Linked DNA regions of Notamacropus eugenii. The protein of the gene in region 1 purifies or fractionates together with the protein of each later gene. This does not show direct contact. Links are inferred from orthologs where the notes say so. Each region holds a gene or a part of one and is shown on either strand. Other genes may lie near its edges. The genes, in order: WWP1, SMAD7, PTPN14 and SPART.

What was found.
Region 2: the proteins of WWP1 (region 1) and SMAD7 purify together in Homo sapiens (affinity purification with western blotting; 3 studies listed by BioGRID, with this or other methods). This does not show direct contact. The link is inferred for Notamacropus eugenii from reciprocal best matches to the Homo sapiens genes WWP1 and SMAD7.
Region 3: the proteins of WWP1 (region 1) and PTPN14 purify together in Homo sapiens (affinity purification with mass spectrometry; 3 studies listed by BioGRID). This does not show direct contact. The link is inferred for Notamacropus eugenii from reciprocal best matches to the Homo sapiens genes WWP1 and PTPN14.
Region 4: the proteins of WWP1 (region 1) and SPART purify together in Homo sapiens (affinity purification with mass spectrometry; 5 studies listed by BioGRID and IntAct, counting the BioPlex papers as one, with this or other methods). This does not show direct contact. The link is inferred for Notamacropus eugenii from reciprocal best matches to the Homo sapiens genes WWP1 and SPART.

The regions. Positions count from the first base shown.
Region 1 is NC_092875.1:168,486,703-168,494,300, reverse strand, and holds the start of WWP1 (NEDD4-like E3 ubiquitin-protein ligase WWP1), read left to right. Parts: upstream 1-4,586; 5' UTR 4,587-4,898; intron 4,899-7,598. UniProt on the Homo sapiens protein: E3 ubiquitin-protein ligase which accepts ubiquitin from an E2 ubiquitin-conjugating enzyme in the form of a thioester and then directly transfers the ubiquitin to targeted substrates.
Region 2 is NC_092875.1:323,885,695-323,892,528, forward strand, and holds the start of SMAD7 (mothers against decapentaplegic homolog 7), read left to right. Parts: upstream 1-3,819; 5' UTR 3,820-5,913; coding exon 5,914-6,568; intron 6,569-6,834. UniProt on the Homo sapiens protein: Antagonist of signaling by TGF-beta (transforming growth factor) type 1 receptor superfamily members; has been shown to inhibit TGF-beta (Transforming growth factor) and activin signaling by associating with their receptors thus preventing SMAD2 access.
Region 3 is NC_092873.1:423,312,905-423,320,766, reverse strand, and holds the start of PTPN14 (tyrosine-protein phosphatase non-receptor type 14), read right to left. Parts: upstream 3,008-7,862; 5' UTR 2,893-3,007; intron 1-2,892. UniProt on the Homo sapiens protein: Protein tyrosine phosphatase which may play a role in the regulation of lymphangiogenesis, cell-cell adhesion, cell-matrix adhesion, cell migration, cell growth and also regulates TGF-beta gene expression, thereby modulating epithelial-mesenchymal transition.
Region 4 is NC_092876.1:206,168,824-206,176,788, reverse strand, and holds the start of SPART (spartin), read left to right. Parts: upstream 1-4,950; 5' UTR 4,951-5,000; coding exon 5,001-5,025; intron 5,026-5,258; exon of another isoform or gene 5,259-5,442; intron 5,443-6,013; exon of another isoform or gene 6,014-6,179; coding exon of another isoform or gene 6,180-6,204; intron 6,205-7,965. UniProt on the Homo sapiens protein: Lipophagy receptor that plays an important role in lipid droplet (LD) turnover in motor neurons.

The DNA.
Region 1 (7,598 bases):
TTCAGTGTAATTCTTATCAAATTAGGAATTCTAGTAATTTGTGTTCATGGGTTTATTAAACATTGGATTACTGTATTTGTTCACTTCCTGTTCTTGCTTGTCTAGTTTGTCCCACTAACCCACTTTTCTATTTTTTAACTGGTTTTGATTGTGACTAAATTACAATGTAGTCTGAGGTCTAATAATGTTATGCTTCCTTCATTGTATTTCCCATGAGACACTTGTCTTTTTGTTCTTTTAGATAAATTTTGTTATTTCTTTCTAGCTTTATGATGTATGTCCCAAATGTCTTAGTAGTTTTAAGCTTTAATAGCTATTAAAGTTAAATCTGTATATTAATTTAGGTAGTGCCATCATTTTTATTACAATGGCAAAGCTAAATCACAACCACTGAATGTCTTCAATTATTTGTTTCCTTTTATTTCTGTAAAGAGTGCTTTGTGGTTTATATAAATGGTTCATCCTACTTCTACAATATCTCTAATATTTCTCCCTTTCTCTCTACTCCCTATGGCCACCACTTTAATTCAGTTCCTCGTCAATTCTCAATTGGATTGTTGCAATAGCTTTTTAATTTGTCATCTGCTTCCAGTCTCTTCCCTCTAAAATTCATTCTTTATATAGTTCCCAAATTGGTACTCTTAAAGCAAAGTTCTAATCATGTCATTTCCTTGATCAAGAAATTCCAGTGACTCCCTATTTCCCCTAAGATAAAAATTCAGAGATTCCTCTGCTTGATATTTAGCCCTTCATAATCTCGTCCCAGTCTATCTTTCTAGATATTTTACGTTAACTTCTTCATGCCAGTCAAATAGGCCCACTTGCTGTTCTGTAGATACAACATTCCATCTCCTACCTCTAGGCTTTTGCATAGACTCTCCCTACATCTTGAATGCCCTCACTCACTTCGCTGGCTCCTTTCAAGGTCCAGCTCAGATGTTATTTCAAATCCGAGGCTTTTCCTGATCTCCCATTTGTTAGGGCTCTATTCAACCTCCGCACTCCCCTCCCTCCAATCACTTTATAATTTACCTGTTTTGCATTTTGTGTTCATTTATTTGTATATATGCTTTTTTATCCAGCAGCAGATAAGCTTTTTGAGAGCAAAGTCTACTTTATTTTAATCTTTTTAGCCATAATACTTGACACAGTGCCTTGAATTTATATTTGGGAATTTTTCTTTGACTAAGAATGTAAAATTGAAAATTTATTTTAATTCTATTAAGCTAAATTGTAATCAAGATGTATTTAATATTCCCTTTCACTGTTCCTTCACCCACTAACCACATCCCAGAGAAACTTGGTCAACCTTTTGTCTTGTAATTACCCCTATCTTTGTAACCCCACCTATCACCCACTTTCCAAAGAAACTTGAATAACCTAAAAGGTCAAATCTCATCAATTTAAGCTATTGTAGCAACTCCCATTTGAGGAGAATCTTTATCTTGTGACTCAAATCACCTATCTTGGTTGTGGTAAATGGGGCAGCTGCGGGGCAGGAGCAAGAGAGACCCATCTTCCTGAGTTCAATTCCAGCCTCAGACACTTAGTACCTATGTGACCCTGGGCAAGTCACTTAATCCTGTTTGCCTCAGTTTCCTCATTTGTAAAAATGGCAAGTCACACCCATATTTTTGTTACAAAAACCCCAAATGGGATCATAATGAGTCAAATACAACTGAATAACAACAAGGGGCTTTTAGAAGGGGAGAAAGAAATGATATAATCTTAATTCTGACTATGTCATCAATAGCCAATCAGAAGACACATCTGTACTGCTCAAGATTTTGCTCTGTCATCTTAGTAATTGTTACAAAAGACCCTGTCAGTCCTCACTCAAGGTCTTTGGTTACTGAGACACCATAGACCCAATTTATTGTTTACTGTTGGCCTAACTAATAAATTAATGATACCTGGAACTTTGTCTCTTAGTTTACCTTCATTTTCAAATGTAACAAATTGAACCAAATGACTTCTGAAGTCTGTTCCAACTCTGGAATTTTATATTTCTACTGATTCAAGTTGGACTTGAAGCTGGAAAATTTTCAAGAATAGGTCTTGTGATGGGCTTTATAGCTGTTGTCAGAGGACAAGTTTAGCTAATTTTAGAGAGGTCTATTATCTAGTTGGCCAAACAGTGATGAATTTTTGGCCATGGCAACTCTGAAATACCATTTATTAAATTATAGAGGTATAGTACTCTGCAGCAGAGAAGGATATACCTATACTGATGACATTACAGATCTCTGAGGTTTTGAAGTATGGACTGACAAACAGAATCTCCCACGGTTTGATTCACATCATCTTGGATATGTAGGCATTCAATAGCAGTAGGAAAGCTTGGGTGGAAATCTTGCTCTGACATTTACCAACTATGTGACCTTAGTCTTCACTTAATCTCTTTCAGCCTCATTTTCTTAGTTTTTAAAATGATGATGATACCTATGTGACTATACCCACAACTTAATATTTACCAAGTAACACATCAATTAAGATACAGTTGTGACAAAGACCAAAAGAGATAAAATATGTACAATACAAACGTTGAAGTGTCATATAAATACCAGTTATAATAATTATAGTAACTCCCTCACAGGGTTGCTGTGGGGATCAAATGGGATTGTGTTGAGGCTTAGGGGTGCTTAGGACCCCAAAATACCAACACGCCAGGTCCTGTCTGAATGAATTCGACTCAAGCCTTCTTTCAGCCAAAGAAAAGTAAATTTTATTAAATACCGGCCATATTTGGTAGACTCTTAAGGAACCTAAGCATTTGTGACACTTGTATTGACAAATGGGCCAGACTGAATCCGAGCTAGATAGAATCTTAGCACCTTCAGGGAGGCAAGATGTTTATATACAGAAAGGCTATGGGAGGAATCTAGGGGTGGCCAGATAGTCTGGGGTGATGGGAGGAGGGGCTTAGAGAGGGTTTGAGGAGAAGTCTAAGGAGGCTTTGATGGGACTGGGCTGATTAGAGGTCAAAACCAAGACAGTGGGATTTTGATGGGAAGCAGACAGAGGCAGTCCAGAGCTAACAGACAGAGGAGGGCTAGGCTAGATTACCGGTATTTTGATGGGATCAAGGATGGGAAGCAACCAGAGGCAATTAGACAAGGAGGTAATGAAAGGCTTAGGGCCAGGCCAGATCCACTGAAGATTCAAGGAGAGTTCAAGGGGGTTCCCAGAAGCCTGTACCCTATCAATAGTCTATATGAAGCATTTTGCGAACCTTAAACACTACGTTTTAGCTAATAGTGTTATTATAACTGTAGCACCTGTGCCTGAATGGGCTCGGGTGGTCTCCTAAACTAGGACAGTGTGATAAAAATGTATCAGATACAGTTACATGTTTGCCAATCTTCTTCTGTGTAATAGGGTTGGAAGGAGAGCTAAGCTGGCTGACATGAAACTTGTTCTTATCCGCTAGACTGGGTTGGTACTACTCAAGCACTTTGCCTTCCTCCTCTCTCCCCTAGCAATCCTGAGCCCCAACACGCCATACCCCTAGACTGCAAATGCACTGAAGGACACGGACAGGGCTCTCTTCTCCACAGAAGTGGAGCTCCACTCCTCCTGAAATGCCTTCGGGATCTCTGGTCACCCGGGGGCAGCCCGGGCCCACGCCGCGCGGGTAGAACACGTGGGCAGCCACCACACACTCACTGCTTGTTGGGGATTCCTTCTTGGGGCTGTTCCCTTATTTCTGAAGAGCGGGTGCACCGGGCCGCCTCAATCCCATTCCCTCTCCCACAGAGGCCTCGGCTGAGGCAGCTCAGACCGGGGCTGTCGTTCGCAGAACTTTGGGAGGAATGCCTTCATCACGCAAAGCTGGGGGAGGGAAGGAGCCACGGCTTTAACTTCCGCAAGTATCTGCAAAGAGAACGCTTTTTCGACTTGCAGATGGAAGAACGAGTGCCCCTGGCGGAGCGATCCCGCTGAAGTCCAGGTCGCCGGTCGTGGCCAGGTGAGGCCAGGTGAGGCCAGGTGCTCCGGCCTGGGGCCTCCCGGGGGGCGGGGTGATCCAGCAGAGGTGGCGGACACCGTCCTTCGCGCGGGGCCTGGGGTCACGTCCCGCTCGTTTTCCGCTCCCGCCGCTGGGCCGTGCCTCGGGTTTCTCCAACTGAAGCCAGCGCTCCGGCTGGCAAACTTGAGAGTCGGAGCCCCGGCTCTGCCCCGCTTCCTTTCCCGGGTCTCCGCGGGAGCTCCGCCCCTCTTCAGGTTCAGTCCTCCGCTCAGCGCTCGCTACGGCCTCCGCCCCCCACCCCCAACGCCCCCTCACTGCTGGGAAGACCAGGACAAGTTAAAGCTTTCACTCGGAGCCGTGTCCCGGTGGAAGCTCTTGCGCATGCTCAGAGAGCCGGCTTCTGGCTCAGCCCGGATTTGTCCGCGGCGGCCGTGGCGGCGCCCCGCGCGCTCCCGGGCAGGACGCGCGCGAGAGGACGGCGGGGTAGGGGGAAAGCCTCTGAGTGCGCTCCCGAGTGCGGTGGAGAGGGGAGTGGATGGGGCGCCGCTGCGCGTGCTCCCGGGCATAGTGACGGGGGGCGGGGACGCGCTCTCGGGGCGCGGCGCCGCGGACTAGGGGACGGACGGCGCTCGCTCCCGCGGAAGGAGGTGTGGGCTTGGACTCGGGCGGTGCGGGGTTCGGGGTTGAGGGTTGGGGTGGGGGGGAAGGGGGCCCCAAGGTCTGCGGTCTCCCCTGCCCGTGGGTCCGTGCGGCTGCAGGCGGCCTGCACCGCCGAGGGGCCGACGCCGGGCGGGTGCCGCTGGGAGATGGCCATCCTTGACTCCGAGGGGTGAGGAGAGCCGCCACCGGCTACTGAAGGAAGAGGAGGCGCCGCCGCCGCCGCCACCTCCCGGGCCGGCGGGCGAGGGAGGCGGACCGGCCGCGAGCCTCGGTAAGGACGCGGCGGGGCTCGGGCGGCGGGGCCCGGGCGGCGCAGCGGGCGTCCCTTCGCGGGCCGGGCTGGGGTTCGGGGCTCGGGCCCTCCCCGTCCCCTGGCCGCCCCCGTGCTCCCACCCCCTCGGGCCAGGCGGGGAGGGGGCGGGAAGGAGGGCTCCGGGGAAGGGGAGGGCGGCGCTCGTCCTCCTTCTCGAGTGGGTTCGTGGGTCTTTTCCTGAATGGGACCCGCCAGAGGCCCGCGTTCGTGTCCCGGAGCGGGGAGAGTGTTTTCGTGCGCCCGCGGTCCCGGGCTGCCTGCCGGCTTCTCTGCTCCGTCTCTGCCTCTGCCTCTCCCTCGGTCGCCCTTTTAATAATCTCCTCACCTTCCATGTCCGGGGCGCCCACCCGAGCCCAGCATTTTTCCGTGGCGTGTTGGTGTTGCTCCGCAGACTTCACCGCGCCGTTCCCCTGGCGCACCCCCTTCTGTGACCCTGCGGTTCCCCATGACCTTGCCGTTTTTATTCATCTCCACAATATCATCTTCCCTCTCTCTTTCCCTTCCCCCTCCCAATGTTTCGTCCGTGTCGTTTCTCCATCACCCCTTTGGCATCGGAGCGCTCTTTGGGGGTGTCTGCTTTGGGTTGTCTTAGACATTGACGAAGAAACATTGTCCATTTGCTTTGGCATTCCTGCTTCTCTGGACTTCTAGTAATCTGGTTTTGATTTCTCCTTTTAAAATGTTTTGTGTTGTGTAGGCAAACATGAATAAAGCGGGAAGTGATTTCTATTTCCACATAACACATAAAGTACATTAGAGGTAGGTGTGAAGAAGAGAAGCTTTACAAAGAAATTATTTTGACTTCTGTAACCAGAAACATCTAGTGTGTACTGCACATATAGGTTTATTTTAGTCTGTAGCTTCTTGAAAAATGGCATACGTGGAAAACTGTTAATTTAGGTTCACACTGCCCCACTAAGTCTGTTAATTTAAACTAAACAGGGAAATCAGAAGTACAGTGTATCAAACATTCAAAAGAAAGTGACTTTCAGAAAGACTTTGATTTGGGTGATTTTAAGTAGCAAAATACTTAATGACAAGTTAATTTTCATAGAAGTGACCTTTATAATAATTCCTAGCTAGTTAGCTTTAAAAAAATTAAACTTAATAGTGAACTGATAGGGACTGCTCACTGGACTCCTTTGGTAGTCCAATAAAGCCTATAAACCCCTTCTCAGAATGTTTTTAAATGCATAAAATAAATACGTATGAAAGAGGAACAAGCATTTTGGGTGGTGGGATGGGAGTGGGGAGAAAAATCATTTATGAGGATCCAACTGTGTGCTGGACATTAAGTCCTAAGGGCTTTACAAATGTTTTTCACATTTGATCTTCAAAGCAATCCTTTGAGTTAGGAATTCTTGTTATTCTCGTTTTACAGTTGAAGAAACTGAGCCAGAAAGAAGTTTTAAGTGATTTGCCCAGGGTCACACTTGAATTTCAGGACTTCCCGACTCCAAGTACAGTGCTCTATCCCCTGCGCTGCCTATTTAGTTAGAAAACCAATTATATTGAAATACAGTTATGTAAGTTTTTTTAAGTTCCTGGACCTTGGAAGAGATACAGAAATAATGCATAAATTTTATTCCTTTGTTTTTAACGTTAATAGTATGGTTATAATGTACTATTTTTATAACTCAATGTAAAAAAGGTTTTGTCTTCCAAAAGCATCATTTTGAGTTACAATAAATCAGTCACCAAGTATTTACTAAGGACTAACCATGTTTCAGCCATTGTGTCCCGTGTTGAGAAAGAAAGACAAAAATGAAATTCCATGCCCTTAGTCTGTCAACTCATTTATTATGCACCTGCTGTGTGCCAGGCAGTTTGCTAAATGCTGGGGATAAAAAGAAAGCCAAGAGACAATCCCTTCTGTTAAGGTTCTTACAGTCTAATTTGGGAGACCATATACAAACCTCTGTGTACAAACAAGATTACAGCTAATTGGAGATCATTAAGGTAGGGAAGGCACTAGCATTAAGGGGAATCTTTAAAGTCTTCTTGCTGCATATGGTACTTTAGCTGATAACTTGAAGAAAGTCAAGGAAGTTAGGAGGTGTAGTTGAGAAGGAAGAATTAAGGTTGTGGAATACAGCCATTGAAAAAACTTGGAATCCAGAAATGGAGTGTCAAGTTCAGGAGGGGGAAAAATCCAGCAAAGGAGGTCAGTGTCAGTGGATCTCAGTTTCTTCATGGGGGAGGGGGGAAGGTAGGTAAGGTATAAAAAAAATGGAAGGTAGAAAGGGGCCAGGTTATGGAGGGCTTTCTAAGTCAAAGAGGATTTTATATTTCATTCTAGGGGTGATAGGGAGGCACTGGAGTTGGTTAAAGGGGGTGTTGACATGGTCAGACTTTTGTTTTAGGAAGATTACTTTGACAGGTGAGTGGAGGGTAGACTGGAATGGGGAAAGACTTGAAGCAGGGAGAACAATCAGCAGGGTATTGCAATAGCAGGTGCATGAAGTAATAAGATCATGAACCAGGGTGGTGGTAGTGTAGGAGCACAGGGAGCCTATGTAAGAGATGTTATAAAGGTAGAAACAGAACTTTGCAATCAGTTGGATATGGGTGAAAGTGTGGAATCCAGGATGACATTTGGGTTGCAAGGTTGCAGCCTGGTGATTGGATGATGTTACCTTGGAAAAAAATAGGAAGGAA
Region 2 (6,834 bases), about 160 Mb from region 1:
CCCTTGGAAGACAGGCAATTCAATATAGGCCAAATCTGTGTAGTTTTGCAAATGATTTCCGTACTAGTTGTGTTGTATAGGACTAACTATATTTCCCTCCACCCTATCCTGTCCCCCATTACTTCTATTCTCTTTTGATCCTTTCCCTCCCCATGAGTGTCAACCTCGGATTGCATTCTCCTCCTCATGCCCTCCCCTCCATCCTCCCCCCCACCCTGCTTGTGCCCCTGTCCCCCACTCTCCTGTATTATGAGATAGGTTTTCCTATCAAAATGAGTGTGCATTTTATTCTTTCCTTTCGTGGAATGTGATGAGAGTAGACCTCATGTTTTTCTCTCGCCTCCCCTCTTTATCCCTCCACTAATAAGTCTTTTGCTTGCCTCTTTTATGAGAGATAATTTGCCCCATTCAACTTCTCCCTTTCTCCTCCCAATATTTCTCTCTCACTGCTTGATTTCATTTTTTTTTTAAGATATGATCCCATCCTCTTCAATTCACTCTGTGCACTCTGTCTCTATGTATGTGTGCGTGTGTGCATGTGTGTGTATGTACTCCCACCCAGTACCCAGATACTGAAATGTTTCAAGAGTTACAAATATTGTCTTTCCATGTAGGAATGTAAACAGTTCAACTTTAGTAAGTCCCTTATGACTTCTCTTTGCTGTTCACCTTTTCATGGTTTTTTTTTTTTGAACCCTCAAGAACAGTATTTCTGTCTTTATTTCATAATGCTTAAAGATTCTCTTGTAAATACTGAGCAGGGAACTAAACTGACACTCTGAATTGTCAAGGTCCAGATTCTTCCTTCCCATCTCCATTTCTTCTGTGTGTAACAGCTATATTTCTGATTAAAACTCATAATACTTTGTTGTGGCTGACTCTTTGTGACCCTATTTGGAGTGGTAAAGATACTAGAGTACCATTTTCTTTCCGAGCTTGTTTTATAGATGAGGAAACTGAGACAAACAGGGTTAAGTGACTAGCCCAGGGTCACACTGCTTCTAAGTGTCTGAAGTCAGATTTGATCTCAGGAAGATAAGGAGTCTTTCTGACTGCAGGTCAACACTCTATCAACTGCACCACCTAGTTGCCCCAAACGTGCCAAGCTACTTCATTAGACCTTAGAGTTAGAAGGATTTACAATGGGGAAAATTAAGATCCAGAGAAGAAATGACTTGTGCAAAGTTACATAGACCTGAGATTCAAATTCACATGTTTTGATTCCAGATCCAGGATTCTTTCCACAATGAAAGAGCACCTTTCCTATTTCCAATGAAAAGTTTAATTGAAACACATAGCTGAGAGAAACATGTTCTCTATTGGTATATAGGCATTCTATAGACTGATGTACCTATGCACAGCTTCCCAGAAATGTATTTAGATGATCTCTGCTAGAGAATGATCACACAACATAAAAGGATGTGTTTGAGTTATTTAGTTTTTTCACTCACACCTAATTCTGTCCACCTTTCTATGTGCAAGGCAATTTGAAGTTACTAAAATATCTGAGATAATCTCTTTAATCTCAAACAGTTAACAGTCTAGTAAGGGAGATATAAAATTCTTGCTTTTTAATAACAACTTAAAGTTAACATTTCTTGTTCAGTCACATGAAATCCCCCCATTTTGAATGTTTACTTTTTAAAAACTCATACTACTATTTGTTCCCTGTACATGTCAAGTAGGCAGCTAGGTGGCGCAGTGGATAGAGCACTGGGTTTGGACTCAGGAAGACTCATCTTTTATGAGTTCAAATCTGGTACTTACCAACTGGGAAACTCTGGGGAAGTCACTTAACCCTGTTGGCCTCAGTTCCTCAACTGTAAAATGGACTGGAAAAGAAAATGGCAAGCTACTCTAGCATCTCTGTCAAGAAAACCTCAAATGGGGTTATGAAGTCAGACATATGTCTAAAGTCAACAATGTATGTCAAGCATGCTAGTTTTTTAAATCAATAAATACTAGACATTACTAATGTTTGTATATGAATTTGAAAATATCAACTGTCACCTCCTCAAAAGAATCTTTTCAGATCCTCTTCCCCAAGCTTTTTGCAGACCTCCACACCCAGACATTCCTTTGAATTTTATACTTAATATTTACTTATCTATGTTCTTCTTATTTTTCCCCTTTAGAATACAAGCCCATGGAGGGTAGAAAATATTTTAATATTTATCTTTGTATACTAAAGGGCCCCGTGAAACTGCAGTAGGAGCAAATGTTGGTTGAATTGAACATTACTCCTGTATAAATGTTTTATTAAGATTCTCTGAATTCCATGTGACCCAGGGCAAATCACTTAACCTTTCAATGCCCCAGGCAACTTTCTAAATTACTGAGAAGGTGCGGACCTGCTTTGGAAGTGGGAGTTCCTTCCAGGAAGCCCCTACCCAGATAAGATCAAAAGTCCAGTCCAAAAAGGGGGGGTAGGGGGTTGGGGGAAATCATCTGGATGTTCAGTTCCTCACTCATCACCAACTTACACATTTATTAGGGCTGGCTGTCTAGGTGGTGGAGGAGTAGATAGCACCCCAGGTTTTCGGTGTCTGCAGCACTTAGTATAATGTCTGGCATATCGTAGGCGCTTAATAAATGCTGCTAGTTGACTTACTGAAGAAGTATGGAGAAGATACAATTCCTGATCCTCAGCATCATAGTATCTAAGAGAAACCATCACCATCCATGTCACTAAGGGCATATGTTGCTATATGCATGTCTCCTATAGTGCCATACATTTCAAGGCAGCCGATTCAAGCTTTGGTTACGTTGTGTTCGTGGGGGTTGAATGTTGTGTCTACATATTTACTTACGAAATAAGAAATTTGCAGGTCACTACATCCAGCCTCCCTCCATTCACCCACCTCTTCGTGTTGGGAGTTGCCAAAATCCGCTACAAGCCCCACTTTACACTTCACAACCCTAAATACATTCCAGAGCTGTTCACAATACACACTTCCGATGTAGTTACCGAAACAAGAGCGTGGAGGAGACCGAAAGAAGACTGAGGTCACATTCTCGTCCGGCTCCCCACCCCTAGGCCAGAGCTCTGCTCGTTCCCCTCCAGTGGAGACTTCCTGGGGCTCCAGTCCAGTCTAGTTTTAAATGACTTCTTAAAAGAGGACAGAGCTCCCCCCTCCTCCCTCCGGAGACTGCTGGGCAACAAACCCAATAGATCTCACGGTCAGGACTCTCCATCTCTTTAAATGAATGAAATGGGTTGGGGAGGGGGGCTTAGAGGAAAGATTGGGCCGGAGGGGTACTGTACAGGGGCAACGAACACCCAGACTAGTCTGCTGATGCAAACCCATTCTTGAGTCCTTTTTTTTGTTTTGCTTTTAATATTTTCTCTTTGCTGTAACTCTTCCAGCCGACCTGATTTTATATATGTGTATGTATGTATATAGATAGATACCTATACGCATGCACGCACATATATAGGGAATCAGGTGTTTTTTTCTCTCTCCACCTCCTCTTTTCTTCCTCTCTTTCTCTTCCTTCTCAGTTTCTCTTTCTCTCTCCCCCTCTCTCCCCAGAATTCAGGAGGAGGGAGTAGGAAGGGAAAGCAGGGGGGGGAGGGTGGTAAGGAGAAGAAAAAGAAATAGCTTTTAGAAACCCGATCTGTTGTTTGCGAAACACAATCGCTTTTTTTTTTAAAGCGACAGGGTGTCTAGACGGTCACGTGTCCAGGCCGGAGCCGGGCGCGCCACTGCGCAGTGGAATCAGCGAAGCAGAGAGAGCCAGGGCGAAGTGGGAGGGGGGGTGTAGGGGAAGGAGGAGGAGGAGGAGGAGGAGGAGGAGGGGCGGGGGAGGAGGAGGAGGAAGAGAAGCAGGGGAGTGTGTGTGCAGCAGGCGGCGAGCTTCAGACACACATACATACATACACACACACACACACACACACACACATGCATACACGGGAGCTAGGTCCGCGAGTAGAGCGAGGTGAGAGCCAATACCGGCTGGAGGCAGAAGCTGTTCGGAACCCTCACTGCCCTCCTCGGCTTCCCGGAGTCTTCCCCTCCCCTCGGGATTGCAAAGCACCGGAGCCCGGCTCCAGAAGCCAAAGGCAAAGACTAAGAAGAAGAAGGACACCCCACATTAAAAAAATATTCCCCTCTGCCTTCTCCTGCGAGGCAAAGCCTGCTGGTCCCCTCCCTCCCCAGAAGAAGAGGGGAAAAAAAGGGAGGAGAAAATAGGAGAGAAGAAGGGATTCCAAGCTTTTTTTCTTGCTGCTTGCTGCCCGGCGCATTGAGAGGAAAATAAAAGTCGGAGAGGCCAGAGAAGAGAAGGAGGCGGAAAGTAAGCAGCCACCCTCGAGGGAGCCCCGAGCCCAGACAAGCGACTGCCTGCCGTGCTTTTTTTTGATCTTTCCTCCTCCTCTCCTTCTCTCCTCCTCCTTCTCCTCCTCCTCCTCCTGCTTGCTTGCGTGTCTGCAGCCGAGGCGAGGAGCCTGGGCGAGGAGCAACCCTGAGAGGAGGAAGACACGGTTGCAGTAGCATTTGCTAGAGAGAGCCAGCCAGCCTGCGAGCTAGAGAGCGAAGCCGACGCCAGTCTCACCTCCTGTCAGCCTCGGCATCACCCCCCCTCTCAGATCTGTTTTTTCTCTCATCTCCCTCCTGCAGCCGTGGGGCCTGGAGGAAGTGGGGACTGGGTCGGGGCGGGGGAAGCAAGGCTATCCCTCGGAGATCCACCTCGGAAAAACCAGGAGAGCTAGTGAAGGCTGGTGCAGTTTTTTTTTGGAGGGGAGAGTGGGTGGCTCTTTGTTTTTTTTTTTTCTTCTTTCGCTGAGGTGGTGTTAGGAAGGAGGAAAGACGAGAGGCTCACTTAAAATAATAATCAGACGAGCATGGTGGAAGAAGCCGATTCAAAGCTTCCTTTGGATTAAAAAAAGATACATATACACATATGTATATATCTTTGGCAGAAGAAAAGGAGAGGAAGAAGAACCGAGCTCCTAGAAGAAAAAAAAGGATGTTAACTCTTGGATACATTTTTTTCCACCAAAATTTTTTTTTGTGATACTTTGTAAACGTTTTGTCGCCCTTTTTCTTCTCTTTTTTGAAAACTCCGACACAACCGGACGTCCCCGGGGCTGCGCCTTGCAGTGGTGATTGTTTTAAATTTTTATTTAGAATATTTGGGTTCCCCTCCCTTTTTAATTGAAAAATAATTTTTTCGTCAGGCACCTCATGCGGGGTGAAATTCACTTTCTTCCCCTCCCCCGAACCTTCGTGTGGATGGAATTCGTGGAGATCCGGTTACTAAGGATATAGTGCAAAAAAACAAATTAAATCGCGTGCCTGCCTTTTTTTTTTTAATTGCCAGCTTCTCCTCACCCCCAAATTAAGTTGCTTAGAGAAGGGGAAAAGAGCATTTTCTCCTGATTCAATCAAAGAAACAAAACCTTAAATTTTCCTTTTCCTGAGGTTCTTAGCCTCAGTAAGGAACTGAGGCTGGAGGTGCTGACATTCAAAAGCTACTCCTCTTCGTTCTGCGTTTGGGGGGCAGTGAGGAGAGAAGGAAGAACTACCTCTCCTGAATCCCCGTTTTTTCTCCCTTTTCCTTTGTATCTTCCCTTGGTCAGCCCGGTCTGTTTCCTCGGCGGGGCTGGGCGAGACGACCTGAATTGGGTGCCAGTGGAGCGGGGTGGGGAAGCCGGAGAGGAGCGGTCCCTCCCCTGCCAGGCCCCCCCAAGCCCCCCCACTCCCTCCGGGCTCCGAGAGACTGGCGCATGTTACGGAGCGTCCCTCCTGCCGCTGCCGCTCCTGCCCGGGCTCTTGCTGCTGCTGCTGCTGCTGCTGCTGCCGCCTGCGACTGCTGCCCCAACTCGGCGCCCAAATTCTTCATGGTGTGCGGAGGTCATGTTCGCTCCTTAGCCGGGAAACGACTTTTCTCCTCGCCTCCTCGTCCCGCATGTTCAGGACCAAACGATCGGTGCTCGTCCGGCGTCTCTGGAGGAGCCGTGCGCCCGGCGGGGAGGACGAGGAGGAGGGCGCAGGAGGAGGCGGAGGCGGAGGAGGAGGAGGGGAGCCGAGGAGGGAAGGGGCGACGGACAGCCGGGCGCATGGGGCTGGAGGAGGAGGCGGCGCTGGTAGGGGTGGCTGTTGCCTGGGCAAGTCGGTCAAAGGTGCCAAAGGTCACCACCACCACCATCACCACCACTCCTCCTTGGGCGCCGGCGCTGCCGGGGGCTCGGAGGCTGAATTGAAGGCGCTAACCCACTCCGTGTTGAAGAAACTGAAGGAACGGCAGCTGGAGTTGTTGCTGCAGGCGGTGGAGTCCCGCGGGGGAACCCGCACCGCCTGCCTCCTCCTGCCTGGCAGAGTGGACTCCAGGCTGGCCCTGGGGCAGGGGCCTCCCGCGTCCCCTCTCCAGACTCAGCCTACCCAGCCTCAGCCGCCGCCGTCGTCTTACTCGCTCCCCTTGTTGTTGTGCAAAGTGTTCAGGTGGCCAGATCTCAGGCATTCCTCGGAAGTCAAGAGGTTGTGTTGCTGTGAATCTTACGGGAAAAACAACCCGGAGCTGGTCTGCTGCAACCCTCACCACCTTAGTAGACTCTGCGAATTAGGTAAGGAGTTTTCACTTGCTTCAAGTAAAGCTTCTCCCCTTGCCAGTGATGGAGCAAACAGAATTGGGGTCTATACTTTTTACAACTGTGTGATTGCATTCTTTTCACCCTGCATTGCTAGTGGGGAAAATGTGTGCTTATAGTGAGGATGCATTGTAAGGGGATCCGGGGGCTTGGACTGATGTGTACTGTGCCTTCTTCCTTTTCTCCACTCTTCAGGCCCGTGAGTATGATTTGGCGTGCATATTATTCATGCAGACCATACG
Region 3 (7,862 bases), on another chromosome or scaffold:
GAGGCAAACAGGGTGAAGTGACTTGCCCAGCGTCACATAGCTAGGAAGTGTCTGCGGTCAGAACTCAGGTCTTCCTGGCTCCTGTACAGAGTACCATGGAGTCAGGAAGACTTATCTGGCCTCCACTGGACACAACTGAGCAACAACCTGTCTCTCTTCCCTTCCTCAGGTGATAAAAGCTCTGGAATTCATTTTATTTGTTGAATACTTACAGACAAAACTAAAATAATAGAGTAGGATGTGGATGAAGGAAAAGAAACAAGGGAGAAGTAGGTAGTGTTTTGAATAGAAACCAAACCTTGCCATCAGGAAGACCTGGGTTCAGGATCCACCACTAACAAATACATGCTGTGTGACCCTGGACAAATTACTTCATCCCTCAATGCTTGGAGGCACTGAGAAATTAAGACTATAACTGGGTAGAGAAGCAAAGCTGTTGTGCAGTGATAAAGGGAGCTTTCTCACCAAGAGTTCCCTACATCAAAGACATTACTAGTCCAGACCAAAAAGAAACAGAAGGTTTCACAGGTAGTCCATAAACTGAACAACCAGCTCCTGGATATTCAACTGAATATCTTTAATCCCATTCAAAAAGACCTAGATTCCAATAAGAAAATAAAGATATAAGAGGAACTCATCTCAGTATCTCACCCTCACCTAACAATTCAAGAAAAATTAAAGTCTTTATGACACTTGAAACTTCTGTTATCTTTTTAGTGTACTGAAAGGCTCTTCCATTCTTGGCTCATTTACATGCTGCTGCCTGCAACTGAAATGTTTGTCTAAACTTAATGTCTACTTTAAGTATAACTGGCTAGAAAGACTTGTCTTCACCAACCACTCAGATCATACACCTTCAAGGAGAATCTTCACCAGTAGGTGGAGAGGCAAAGACAAACACAAGTGGTTATTTAAAAGAAATAACCACACATTTTTCCCAGTCAGATGCCTGATGCATAGAAATAAAATCACAAACACTAGCATGGCACAACCACCATGCACAAGACTCAGGCACTAATCATAGTAGTGCTATTAATAAAAGCAGCATGTTACACAGGAAAGGGCACTAGATTGACAATCAAAAAGAGCAGAGTTCCATGGCTAACTCTAGCTGATTATCAGTCTGATGAACCTGCCCAAGTCTCTTAACCCCACCCCCTCTTGTGGAATGCATATAGTGTATGTAAATATGAGTGTATGTACACATTATATATGGTGACATATGATATCAGCCCTACAAAGAGCAGTTCATTTAAAAACAAGCTACAAGTTGACACTTGCACTTATTATGATACCATAATAACCTTCTAAATTAGCGACCTTATACAGTATAATATCAGGCTAGAGCATAAAAAGCTGTTATATTCTGTTCAACTTCCTACATGTATCAATCCGTCCCTAATAAAGTTTCAGGAAAAAGAAAGTGGCTCTTATAACTGTGCTGCAGCAATAACCATAGCATTTCTAAGTGAGAAGAGAGTGAGCATTACTGACAAAGCACTCACTCTCACCAATGCATGACAAAGGCAAAAGTACATTTCAGATGTTCTTTGATCTCTATAGTGCTTACACAAAATAGGCAAGCCATTGGGCTTACTCCTAAAATGGATGAGCAGTAGCAAAGTCCCCACTGCTGCTACAACCTGCCACTTCACCGCTCTAAGAAAAGGTGACCGCAAGGAAAGGTGGAATAACGCAGCTACTGACAACCTCGACAACCTGCAGCCCATAGTAGAGCTCAATCCACACCTGAGGACGTATGGGCATAAAAGTCCCTTTCATCAGGTTGATTCAAATCTGTCTGTGCCCTAAGTCATCTCTATCACTGGAGAAAAAGGCTTCTCCTGACCTCTAACCTTTAACTCAGCCCCTACTTGACTGAATTTTCCTGTGGTTACTAAATCTTGATTTATTCTATCCTGGGTATTTTTTTTCTTTCTGTATTTGATGGTTGAGGGGAAAGAACCATCATTTCTTTTTCAAACTGATCCGCAGAGGAAAAAGTAGTACACTGTCAAATATCCTTGCTGCAAGAGCCCTTGGTTGCAGAACTAGAAGACGTCCCCACTGGAAAGCAACAAGTAAGAACCCCATGCTTCCGTCCTGAGTTCTCGCCTTACAGAGAGCAAACAGAAAAGGGGGCAGAAAGCTAGGTGGACAGCACATTTTACCTTTCTGCTCCCTCCAGGTGAGACGATGCTAAGCCTCCAGCAAAGTGTCCCCCTAAAAACTGTTTTCCAATGAGGAAGGAGTTGTTAAAGCTCAATCCGTTTTGTGGGGGATTTTTTTGGAAGAGGAGGAGTGAGCCAGAAAAAGTTTGGTCCCAGACAAATTTCAAAGATACGGGCTACGGGGCCCAAAAGAGCTGTTGGCAAACATGGGGCCTAGTGAGGGGCAGGAAGAAACTTCTCTATTCACCGGGCTTCCCCGTAGTGGGCTAGGCGGCGGGGTGTCACACCAGAGGAGTCTGCCTCCCCTCAGTGGAAGAGAACGTTCTAAATCCCTTATCACTCCCCCTCCCCCAACAACGTGGATATCTTCAGAAGGCAACCCTTCCCCCCAAAACTCAAAGGAGTTGAAGGAGGTTTCGGCTGATCAGACCCCTGGCGACCTCCAACCCTCACCAGGCAAGCTCTGTGCCTTCACTATGAGAATAATCCAACTGGCCAGCCAACTCCTGCACCAGCGGAGGCGTCCGTCAGTCCGTCCGTCTGGTCTGTGGCCGGCCAGAACGCAAGTTCGCTCTCCAAGTGTTTGCCAAAGTCATCTGCAAGCAGCGGCGGAGCTGAAAGCCAGCCTCCCAAAGCCCCTCTGGGGCTCCAAGCAAAGGCACGGACACCGGAGCTCCAAGCCTCAGCCAACACGCTGTGTGTTACGGACCCCCACACTTACCTGCTTACACGTCCCCCCCGGACAGAGGTCCCGAGTCCCCCACGGAAAGGTCGGCGGCGGCAGAAGCTCCAATTCCCCAAGGAATTTATTACAGTGGCTGATTTGGGAAGGGGAGGGGGGAAGTAGTTGGAGGAGGAGGAGAAAGGGGAGGGAGGTTTCCGCTCGGATCAAGCGAGGAGAGTCCAGGAAGGGAAGGGAAGGGAAGGGAAGGACCGGAGAAGGAAAGGGGGAAGGAGAGTGAGAAGAGAAACCTAGTCATCCAGTGTGGGTTTTGTTCCGCGGCCGGGAGATCCCAAGGCTTAAGGCCCGAGAGGATGGGGTGAGGTGGGAGGCAGAGGGAGGGCCCGCTAGCAGCTACTTTGTGTTTGCTCTCCCAGGAGGACTGAAGGTTGGAAGAGGGGACGGCGGGGCGGAGGCAAAAATAAAAAGTTACGGCAACCTGCCCCAAGAGCTGCTCACGTTGCACTCCGGGGAGGGAAAAGTTTGCCCTGACTTTCGTGGGCTAAGCAAGCGAGAGCTGCAGGAAATGCAAGCAGGGAGAGGGGAGGGAGGAAAGGGGCCGCTTGGGGGAGAGAAGGCGAAGCAGGCGCCGGGGGCAGCGGCGCCCCCACCCCCCAACGCGGCTGGACTCCGAGGCGCTGGGGTGCCGGGAGGAGGAAGGAGGGAAGGGGCTCGCGGTGGGGGGCGGAATGGAATGTGGCCCGAAGAGGAGTCCCAAGGGTGTAGGCTTTGCTGCTCTGTGAGCGCGCCTCTGTGTGTGTGTATGTGTGTCTGTGTGTGTGTGTGTCTGTGTGTGTGTGTGTCTGTGTGTGTGTGTCTCTTTCTGCGTGTGTTTGGAACACGAAGCTGGAGCTCCCTAGCCGAAGCAGCCTGCTCAGTGCGCTGAGCTCTGGCCTTGGGGACGTCACAGAGCAGGAATCCGTGGAATGTGGGGCTGCTGGAGCTCCTGTTGCAGGGCCGGTAGATGTCCAGGGACTTCTAAATATTTTGCTTTTAGGAGGGGGGAGGGAGGGTGGGGATAGTGAGAAGAGGTCGAGGTGAACTACCATCCAAGAGTCATAAGCTTCAGAATGGAAACGGGGAAAAAAATACCCTAGCTGGAAGAACGTTGCAGCAAAAGTGCAGGAAAGAAAAGCCCACCTCCGTCCCTGAGGGGCGGAGCTACAGGAGGGGCTTGACCAAACCCTCTGGGAGAGACCAAATATACCCCCCTTTAAGGGGACCCTGTGCCTGGTCACCCCACGCACAAGCTTCCAGGAGCATCTGACACCGAAGAGAGCATCTCTGAGAAAGCAGTGGACCATTGTATCCTAAGCATGCTTAGTGGCTTTCGGCCAGATTGGTCTTAGAGCATCAAGGACCTAGTCTCCTTGACGACCCCCCCCCCTCCGCTTATAAAAAATGCATATAAATAGAAACATAAATGGAATGTATCTTTCTTCCTGATCATGTGGTACCACATAATTGCTCCACCCGTGGGCTTGGCACTGGAAGAGTATTTCCCTAAATCTTTTGGAGGTGATGTTGAAGTAAAGCAGTATGACGGGTAAAAGAAGCCCTGACCACAGTTATAGGCCTGGCCCTTCCACACTGACTAAATCTACGACCTTGGGCAAGTCCGGACCTTTTGAGACTAAAATGATGGTTGGAGCCCTCTCAGATTTCTTATACTTTGGGTGGTAAGGGGGAAGGAGAAACAGCAAATATCCCCTGATCATTATCTAATCACAATTTTCTATTCTTCCACCTCTCCAACTATTACATTAAGCCTGTTCCTTAGCCTAATTAGGACTTTCAGTTCTTTGACCCATTCCTAGTCTCCTATCCGATCTCTGCTTTATTTGCTTACTATTACTGTCGCTACTACCCTAGAATCTTGTGTACCTCACCCGCCCCACCCCACCACCCACACACCTACTGCCATTCCAGACCTGTGAATCTTCATCCCCACAGTCCAATGGTTTGATCCAGCTCCAAAGTCACAAAGCATAGATTGAGGTAATCAGTCAATCAGTTTAAAACAGTTATTAAGCATGCTAGAAATACAAAGAAAGGGAACAACTGTCCCTTCCCTTACTGCTCTAATTCTATAAGGAGAGACCACATATAAATAAGTACTTACATGATACATACAAATAACTTCATGTGGGGGAAGGCACTACCAGCGGGTGGAGAAAGAAAGTCTGCTTACACAAGGCAGGATTTGAACTGAGTCTTGAAAGAAGTCAAGGGAACTAAGAGGTAGAGGTGAGGAGAAAGAGAATTCCTGGCATGAGGGAGAGACATGCAAAGGTATGGCTATGGAAGATTGAGTATAGTACTCAAGGAAGAACAAATAGGTCTTTGTGGCCAGAAGATTGAGAGCTTGAAGAGAGGCAAAGTTTAAGAAGACTGGAAAACTAGGAAGGGGTCAGGAGATTAAATACCTTAAAGACTAGGATACTTATATTTTATTCTAGAAGCAATAGGAAGCCACTGGAGGTTACTGAGAAGGGAGGTTACATTATGAGACCTTTGCTGTAGAAAAATCATGAAACAGCTGACTTCACTACCACTACAAATTTGTTACATAACCTTAACTGGACCTTTGATAGTGATCCACCCTCCTTCAGTATCTTTTATTCATTCTCCATTTTTATTTTCCACAGTATATTTTAAGCTTTCTCTCCTCCTCTCTACACCACAAGCCCTCACATTTACAGCATATAATCTTGCTTCTGAGTCAGTTCATCGATAAACATTTATTAAGTGCCTATTATGTATATCCCAGGCACTCAGTAGGAACACTGAGGTAATATGGTGGTGTAATGGAAAGAGTATATATCTGGAGTCAGGAAACTTGGATTTGAGATCCTGGTTTTATCACTTACAGCCTCTGTGACTTTGGGAAATCACTTTATTTCTTTGTCCCTCAGTTTTCTGTCTGATGATGAGAATGAAGTAGTTATTGGTGTCAAACTCAAACAGAAATGGGAGCCACTAATCATGCATAAAGATCCCTTCAGGTGCCATATTAGCTTAGAAAAACATACATGTTCTTAGATTTCTTTTTTTTTAATACACCAATGCATTAGAATCAGATAGAAAGTGATTCAGATCACTCTCAGAAGTGTTTTGGGCTGCTTGCTGCCTGGGGACCCTGTGTTTGACATTTGTAGACTAGGTGACCTTGGAGATTTTTTCCAGTTCTAAATCTGTGAACTTATGACCTCTCCCAAAGTCCCTCCTCCTTCTTCAGTACTTGGCAGCATCATATCCCCTTCTCTCCTTTCCTTTGGTCACAGAAAAAGTATTGCCAAGTCCTCATCTCTAAGAATAATCTTCTACCTCAGGGGTGCTTAACCTGGGTTCTGTGAACTTGGATTTTTCATATAAATATATATATATACACGTATGTATATGTATGTATGTGCATATATGTATATATATACACATACACACATATGTGTAACTATTTTAGTAAAATTGATTTCCTTTGTAATCCAATGTATTTTGGTTTATGAATTTTAAAACCTTCTAAGGATTCTCTAGGCTTTGCCAGGCTGCCAAAGGGAGCCATAACACACAGAAAAGGTTAAGAACTGCTAACCTTACCTGTTCCCTACATACATTCTCTCTCACTTCCTCCAGGACCTTATTCTAGTTATTGTTGTTCAGTGGTTTCAGTTATGTCTGACTGTGACACCATTTGAGGTTTTCTTGGCAGATAATGGAGTGGTTTGTCATTTCCTTCTCCACCTCATTTTACAGATGAGGAAAGTGAGGAAAACAGCGTAATGTGACTTGCTCAATGTCACACAGCCCAGATTTCAACTCAGGAAGATGAGTCTTCCTGATTTCAGACCTGGCACTCTATCCACTGTGCTGCCTAACTGCCCCCTCATTCCAGCCCCTTCTTATCTTATCCCTCATTCATCCCTTTTCTCCTTTGAATATCTTCAATTACCCCCTCTCCCCTTGTTTCTTCCAAACTATCTAATAATATGATTAGGTCTCCCTAACTTAAAGTTTTAAAAAAAAAGCTTTCTTTGGATTTTTTTAACCCATTCAGATACTGTCTTCTCACCACACTCCTCTACATTACTTGGCTTCTTGAAAAGTTGGCTATATGCAGCATCTCCATTTCTTTATTTCTCTTCTACCATTTACATTCTGATTCTTCTGAAATTGTTCTCTCAAAGATTACCAGTAACCTTGTGATTGTGGAATTCTACTTGATTTCCCTCTGCCTTTTCACCAAGAGTGTGCTAGTAAATGTTTAACAAACAGCTTTCTAGTCAGGGGAATGAACATAAAACACACTATGTTTCATCTATTCTAACATTTTCTCAGTCACTTTTTAGGTCTAGACAAGCACAAAAACAATAAATCAAGCCTGATTGCATTTACTGATTTCCAAAGTCTAAATGCTCATACTGAAAAATAAATTGGATCCAGGTAGAAGATGAGTCCAGCACATGACTGCTTTTAACCAAGTTAACCATTTCCTTTCGGAAGTACTGACTCCTATGCTTCAGAGACACATTTATATTTTTGTTTGCTTCTTACTTCTCTATTTCTTCTCTTTCTCCTTCCCTGGATACTCAACTCCTTTTTGATCTCTTCTTGATCTAACCTCAAGGGTCTGTCACATGGTTTTCAAGTCTTTATCACCTCTCTTCTGAGTTTCATATCTGCTTCTTCAATTGAGTTCAGATATCCAACTGAATGTCTCACCACTACCCCAAACTGAAGATGTTCAAAACAGAATATATTGTCTTTCTTCCTATTATCAGTCCTCTCTTACTTTTTTTGCACAATTTCTATCTTTTACCCCATCACCCAACCTTTTTTTCATGTTTATAACCTTGGGGTTATCTTTGACCCTTTTCTCTCCTTCAGCTCTCATAATCCTAGAAATTCCACCCCCAAAATATCTCACAAATTCATTCCCTCCAGTTTATTCTCATTTTCATCACTCTAGTGGAAAC
Region 4 (7,965 bases), on another chromosome or scaffold:
TAATTTGTGCTAGCATTGGAAATATCTACTATTAGCATCATTCATTATGGATTAAGCACAAGCAGGGAGGAATAAGGTATTAACAAAGTCAATGAAGTTTACAAGTAAAGTGCTACCCACCTACTTATGTAGATGTGAAACCTATACCTACTACTCCAATAACATTTGGTTTCTAGACAAATTCTACCAGTGTGACAAGTAGAAAAAAATCTAGTATCCATTGCCCTGATAAGATCTATGATAACATAAGCCAGTCAGGATGCTGCACCTGGAGACACAGTGAAAGAAAGTCAGATCTGTTGATGATGAGTATTCTAATATCTCCTAACAACTAAGAAATAACTACAGATATCAGATTGTAGTACAGTACTCTAAGTTATCACCACTCAGGGTGATGACTGGAATTCTTCCCCATCTGCTCTTGATTCCCCAAAAAGCAATTCCTTCTGAGGGACTAGGTCAGAATGGCTCTCTCTCCCCATGATATTGCTATACATTTGAATTATGAGATTCTGAATTGGCTTGCTATTTTATAGATCACCCACAGGGTGTGATCAAGTTATCTCTGAATAGCAATATACTTTTTTGGACCCCCAAAAATAAGTGGGATTTTTTTATAATTTAAATTAAGTTGAAATTTTAAAATTTAATTTAAAATTTTAATTAAAAGTTATCAGGCATGTATTTTTTCTCCTTACCCTGCCCCCCCCTCAGTTTAAAAGGAAAAAAAACCCTACCCTTTATAGTAAGTATGCAGATTTTTATAAAATACTCAGGAAAAACAAATCACAAGATGCCTCCCCCAAAAGTCCATTACCTCTCTGTTGGACTGTGAATGAATACTATCTCCTCTCAAACCTTGATGGAAATAGTCCAGGATCTGGAACCCAAGAGCTTTTAGAAAACCATTGCTTTCAGTCCCATGGCCACATCCACCACTCTGGGAAGAAACCACTGTGGATATAGCCTGGCAATTGCTCCTATAGGTACTTACAGCTATAGCTTCTGAAGACTCAGAAAGTAAATTCTTGCCACAAAAGTCCTTGGCACTGTTGAATGGTTCTACATCAGAAACTGATAGGATTGTTATCAGTGAAACATTAAAGAAAAGATACTATAATATGCCTTGCTTCAGTGCCCTAAGGACCATGGGACCTGTCTATCTGGCTTGCAGCTGAGAACTTCCATACACGTTGCCTCCCCCATTAGAACATGAGCCCCTTGAGAGCAGCAGTTCTCTTACTTTTCTCTTCGTATCCCTAATGTTTAGCACAGTTGCTTTGCACATATTAAGTACTTTATGCATTTACTAATTTGGTTTTCTTCTTTGGCCTTCTGGAATCATGGTTAGTCATTTCATTGACTAGAGTTCTTAAGTCTTTCAAAGTTGCCTCTCTTTACAATGTCATCATCATTGTATAAACTCTTCTCCTGGTTCTACATCATTCTACATCAGTTCATTATTTCCAAGTTTCTCTGAAACGATGTTCATAATTTCTTACGCAAAATAAGATTACATTCATATACCATAATTAATTTAGCCATTTCCCAAATTGAGCATATCCTTAGTTTCCAGTTCTTGGTGACTACAAAAAGAGCTACTATACTTTTGTACATTTGGGACATTTTCCTTTTTATGTGATCTCTTTGAGGCATAGGCCTAGAAGAGATATCACTGGATCAGTGATATCAGTGCTTTTTTAAAGCATAGTTCCAAATTGTTCTCCAGAAAGGCTCCCCTGTGTGTATGTTTACCCTGTAACCCAGTATGTATCCCAAAGAAAAGAGAAAAGGACCTATGTGTATATCCACTCTTTTTGTGAAGGCAAAGAATTGGAAATTGATGGGATGCCTATCAATTGGGAAATGGCTGAACAAGTTGTGTTACATGATCGTGATAGAATACTATTGTACCTTAAGAGATAATGAGCAGGATGATTTCAGAAAAACCTGGGAAGACTTCTATGAACTGATGCAAAGTGAAGTGAGCAGAACCAAGAGAACATTGCACACAGTAACAAAATCATAAGGATGATCAACTGTGAAAGACTTGGCTATTCTGATCACAACAATGATCCCAGACAATTCCAAAGCACTCATGATGAAAAATGCCATTCACTTCCAGAGAGAGAACTGATGAACTCTGAATACAGATTGAAGCATCGTTTTTTCACTTTATTTTGCTTATTTGGTGTGTTGTGTGTGTGTGTGTATGTGTTTTCTTTTGCAAAATGGCTAATATGGAAATGTGTTTTGCATGACTTCACATGTTTAATCAGCATCAAATTGCTTGCTTTCTCAAGGACAGAAGAGGGATAGGAGGGAGAGAGAGAATTTGGACCTCAAAATTAAAAAAAAATTAATGTCAAAAAAATTTCACAGATGATTGGGAAATATTTAATGAAATATGTATATGCAGTTATATATGTGTTGTATATTTAAAAAAAAAAGACCACCAATACTTTCAGGATAGAGGCACTCCCTTTAATCTAATGACTTTCAATGACTTTTAAATTGATCAAGGAATTTTCACACCAGACTAAAGGCTATGGTTGACTGGAATTACAAAGAAAAGTTACTAAATTATTTACATCCTTTTACCTGGGACTATTTACCTTAAGAACATTATAGATGAAAAGAAAAGATTCACAGGCACAAAAGCATTCCAGAACAGCAATATTTGTAATAATAAAAAGCTGGAAACAAAATATGTGATCAACAATGGCTAATGTTTTTATGAGACAATGCAGAGTAAAGAAAGCAAAGTCAAAACTTCAAGGACTACAATGTTTAAAAAGGTATGGTGAGAGGCACCAAAACTCTAGTCAAATACTGTTCAATGTTAGAACCATAGTATGGTTCAAATTTGAAGACTATCCCTCCTGTTTTCATCAGATTTGCTAGATGATACATGTAAAATGCTTTGAAAATGCTAAAATGTTATTTAAAAATCATCATTAGGAGTGTTTCTGGGATATTATAAATGGAAACAAAATGTACCAATAAATCTAAAAAAGGGGAAAAGTTTTGTCAACTGAAAATATAAATTTATATATAGCACTTTTAAATTTTACGAAGTGCTTTTTCATCATGGCAGCAGTCCTGTAATGTCCTATTTGCCCCATTTTATAGATAAATAAACTTAGGCCCAGAGAGCCTGACTTGCCTAAGGTCACCCAGGAAGGCTAGTCCCCAAACCAGGTCCATTAATTCTAAATCCAGTACTCTTTGTACATTCCTGCAACTTCAACAGGTTTTACCTTATTCAAACTGTCAAAAGTATTAGCAGGTAACATCTTGTCAAGTGAGGCGGGTAAAGTGACTCAATCAAGCCCCATCTTTGTCCTAAAAGAGCTTTCTATTGCTATGCTTTTCCAATACAATTTCAAAATATCTCTTGAAAGGATCAAATCTGAAAACGTTTAGATCAATGGTGGAAGATTATTTTTTCTCTGTAGGACACTGAGGTCTATCTGTTACCTAAAATATACTGCAGATTTTGAGATACGCTGAAGAAACAGAAAATTCTGAGGGAAGTAAATTCTACTCTTTCCCCTTCCTAGTCAAATGACATTACAATTTTTTTTAATTAAAAGGAAAATTACCTAATTTTTTCATTTACTAAGATTTTTTGACACTCTGAAGATACCACTTAAAATTTTTTTTTTCAATGAACAAAAATCAATTCTCCCTCTCCCTGGAGAAAAAGCAAAAACAAAAAAACCCTTGTGTTGTTCATGTCCCAAAAAATATACATCTCATTCACCACCCTGAATCCATAACTTCTCTGTCAGAAGGTGGGTAGCATGTATAGGCAACACTTAATTTATACAATCTAGTTTACCTTTAATTTCTGTAAAGATAACTGGCATTTACATAGTACAAACCAATGCTTGTAAAATTTATAATGTTTACATACCTACTTCACAACAAGGAAGAAATCAAGACCCAGGGGAGGCTGTCACTCCCATAGCCACAAAGCCAGTAAATGTCAATGGGTGCCCTGATGTCCCCAACCTGCTCTAACACTTGGTGATACCCTTTCCAGGGGAATGTTTTATTTAAAATTGTAATTATTCATTCAGAAAATCTGCAAGGTATTAGACTAACTTGACAACTTCCTCTTAAAAACACAAAATATTTATAGCAAAAGCAATAGAGCACCAACATGTATAGATTATACATATGTATCTTCTAAATGTACAATAATGTACAAATAGGTAATTTGTATTAAACAGATTAAAGCGTATTCCAAGTCTTAAAAGAGCTATATAAAGGCAAGCTATCATCATCATCATAATATATAGTTAATATAGGCATAAATATATAATATATAATTAAATATAATGTAAATATATAATATATAATAAAATATATGGAAATAAATCTATACTATAAATATCAAAAATAATTATACATTATATATAGTACATACTAAATACGTAATAAATAAAAATATATATTAATTATAATACAACCCAAGAAACAAATAATAATAAATACTATTTTTAAAATACCGCCCCCTAACGGAGAAGCTAGAGCCCTACCACTGCCTCGCGCTGCCCGTTTTGCCAGGGGCGCCCTCTAGCGGCCCAAGATGATCGCTCGCTGTTCTACTTCGGACACTCAGGGACTGCAGCTCTGCACTCTAGGACCAAGCGGTCCAGGATGAGCCCGCCCCCTAGCTAGGCTCAGCAGTCTCCAGGGCGCCTGCGCGGAGGGTGGAGGGGGGGGGGGGGGGGGGGAAGCAGGCCGAGGGGAAAAGGGCCTGGGAAAGGAGGGGGCGGGGTTGTGGGAGGCCTAGGCCGAGTCAGTAGTAAATAAAGCCGAAGCCACTGCCCAGGCTTAGGCTCTGGTTCTCGCGCTCAGTGTCCAGTCGCGCGCTCGCTCGTCTCGGTCCTCACCCTAGTCCCAGCCGTGGGTGAGGGTTTTAGCGGTCTTTGGGGGTGAAGGGCTTGGAGCGGAGAAAGGCTACAAGACGGGGCGGAGGTTACCGGGCGATGGGCGTGTGGGAAACCCTGCCGGGTGGGTGACACCCGAGAGGAAAGCTCAGGTTTCGGGGAGCTGGCCAGCAACCCGCGGGCCCTGGGGGAGGGCCGTTGGAAGTGAGCAGGCCGGGAGAACGAGGGTGTCGGGGTGCTGGGTCGAGCCTCTCCTCCCTCCTCCCTAGCACGCTGGTTGGGCGGACGTCACGAGCCCGGCCTGCCCGCGGGGCGGGGGAGAGGAGCGCGGAGAAGTTAGGCCTTTCCGCCCACCCCCACCCCGAGCGTGCGGGCTGCACCCTTCAGACGGCGGCGGGTCCCGGCCGGTCCGTGCCCGCCCGCAGCCGGCTGGCGTCTCCGACTCCGAGGGCCGGCGCAGCCGAGCCCGAGGGTGGACAGGTAAAAGCCGGCGCCCGTTTCTGGCGTAGAGCCAGACGAGACGCGGGCGGAGTGTGTGAGGGTACGCGTGTGTATGCGTGGGGGGGGCGGGGAGGGGGGAGCGCAGGAAGGGGCGTGCCGAACTGCTGAGTCAGCGCCTGCGTCCCCGCCCGCCCCGGGCCCCGGGCCCCTGCCCAGTTCTGGAAAGCAGGGCTGTGCGCACGAGCTGACTGTCCTACCGCGTAGGCATCGGATCCGGTGTAGTCAGCCCTTTGGGGGCTGCTTCCTTGTCTGCTCAGCCACGGACAGCCAGCGGACGGCCTTCCCCCCCTCGCCCCCATCTTTATAAACCCCTGTTTGGGTCCAGCAGGATCTTTGGTGCCGGTGGTTGGTCTTGGTGATGCAGTTAAACCTTTCTTAAGTACCTCCTGCGTGCTAAGCTCTAGCGCTGCGGAGAGAGGCCAGGCAGCGCTGCCTTCGGGGGTTTACAATGTAGCAGACCTGGAACCAGGGGGGACCTCCGGGGGACGCTCGGCCCGTCGGGGATGCCTGCTGGGCTTCTCCGGGTCGTGGTTAGTGGGCCTGTGGTGCAGGGAGCAGCCCCCTCCCTGGTTCTCCCGTTTCTGCCCTGGTGACCTGATGGACGCGCTTGAGGCTGGGCAGAAGCCTCAGGAGCACCACCAGATGTGCATTCGCGTTTATTGTACGTTCTGTTAAGGAACCGCTTGGATTTCATTGGGAGGCGTTATTCTAAGGACAGCGTCTCGAACCTTGTCATTCTGGCTTTAATCATCAAAATGAAGCAGGTGTACTGATTTTATGAAGAACTTACTTGGAAGTGGAAGTAAGCAAAGGAAGTTTTGCTGCTTTTAATCATAAAATTAATATTTAAGCAACATCTATTGGAAGCTGCAGGAGTGTGGAACGCGCACCGGGTTTAGACCTGCGAATTATTAGATGGCTGATCTTGAGTGAATCGGCTTCTGCAAAGCCTAAATTATCTACCTAGAAAATGGGGCTGACAGCACATCACCGGCTGCCGCCTTCATGAAAAAGCACCTTGTAAAACTCAACGTGCTATGTGTAAATTTATTTTTATTTATACATTTTTTTCTACTTACCACACCCCAACAAACACTCATAATGACATTTAAATAATGTTAATATTTTCAAAGCGTCTTACATATATTAGCCAGCCAATTCGCTGAAAACAGGAATGTTTTAAACAAAAAACAGGAAGGATGCAGCCTTCAAAATGAACCATATTGCGGATATAACATTAAACAGTGTATCTGACTAGAATCTTAGTGCCTCACCTTTTAGGCAGTCCCTATTCTTTTGACTTTGCTTTCTTTATTCAGCACTATCTCATAAAAGCTGTTAGTCATTGTTGGACACATATTTTGTTTCCAGCTTTTTGTTATTACAAACATTTCTGTTCTGGGATGTTTTTGTGCCTATCGGTTGCTTTTTTTCCTATCAAAAATCTTCTTGTGGTAAATAGTCCCAGTAGTAGAATCTGTGGGTCAAAGGATGTAAATAATTTAGTGACTTTTCTTGCATAATTCCAAATTGAAATTGAACCTCTGAACAGTTAATGTGTAAAGGTTGATTTTTTTTTTTAATAACTTCAACTTTTTTAAGCTTATCTTTAGTTTTCCCTAATACAGACTATTTGGCACAGTTGTAGAAAAAAATTTATGTAAACAAATGTCATCCACTATTACCAGCATATTAAAAATTACTAAGTGTTCCAATGGATGACATATACATTTTAACCAAAATCATTAAGGATCAGCCTGGATTAGTTCAAGGGATCTTAACCTGGGACCATGGACTCCCACAGAATCCAAGTAATAGGTTTCAGGGGGTCTCTGAACTTGGATGGAAAAAATTACATCATTTTCATTAACATCTCACTAAAATTAAACATTTCCTTCAATTATGAACATAGCCAACATAACATTGTGAGAGAAGACTGCCAAAGAGGTTTGTGACACACAAAGTTTAAGAACCCCTAGTTTAATGTAAACTGGTCTGTAGGTGGCATGGTAGATGGAACACTGGGCTTAAGAGGCTGGAAGAACCAAGTCCAAATGCAGCCTTAGACCCTTGATGTCTGTGTGATTCGTAAGATTATCTGAAGGACGCATGAAATACGAGACGAAGTTGTAATTCATTCTCAAACATACGGAAAGAGTTGAACATCAGCCTTTCTCTTATTCTCTTCCCTCCTCCCCTTCAATTCTCCTTAAGTATTATCACCAGATGGGGAAGTGATGTGAACTTGAATTCAAAGACAATTGACTTTTGAGCTGAAAGTCAGACGAATAAAGGACATACAAAGCTAGAGGCCAGGGACAGTAGGGTCTTCCATACTGCAAACTTAGAAACCAGGGTCCTAAATAGGCTAGTAGGATTCCTGGGGGATAATAGTTGACTTTATAGCACTTTATAGCACATGGTAGTTAAGGTTTACAAAACATTTTTTTCATATATATTAACTCATTTGATCCCCACAACCCTATGGAATAGGTACATAGAACTTATTTGGGGAAACTGAGGTACAGGCAATAACTGGCTTGACCATTGTTCCAAGGCTTAG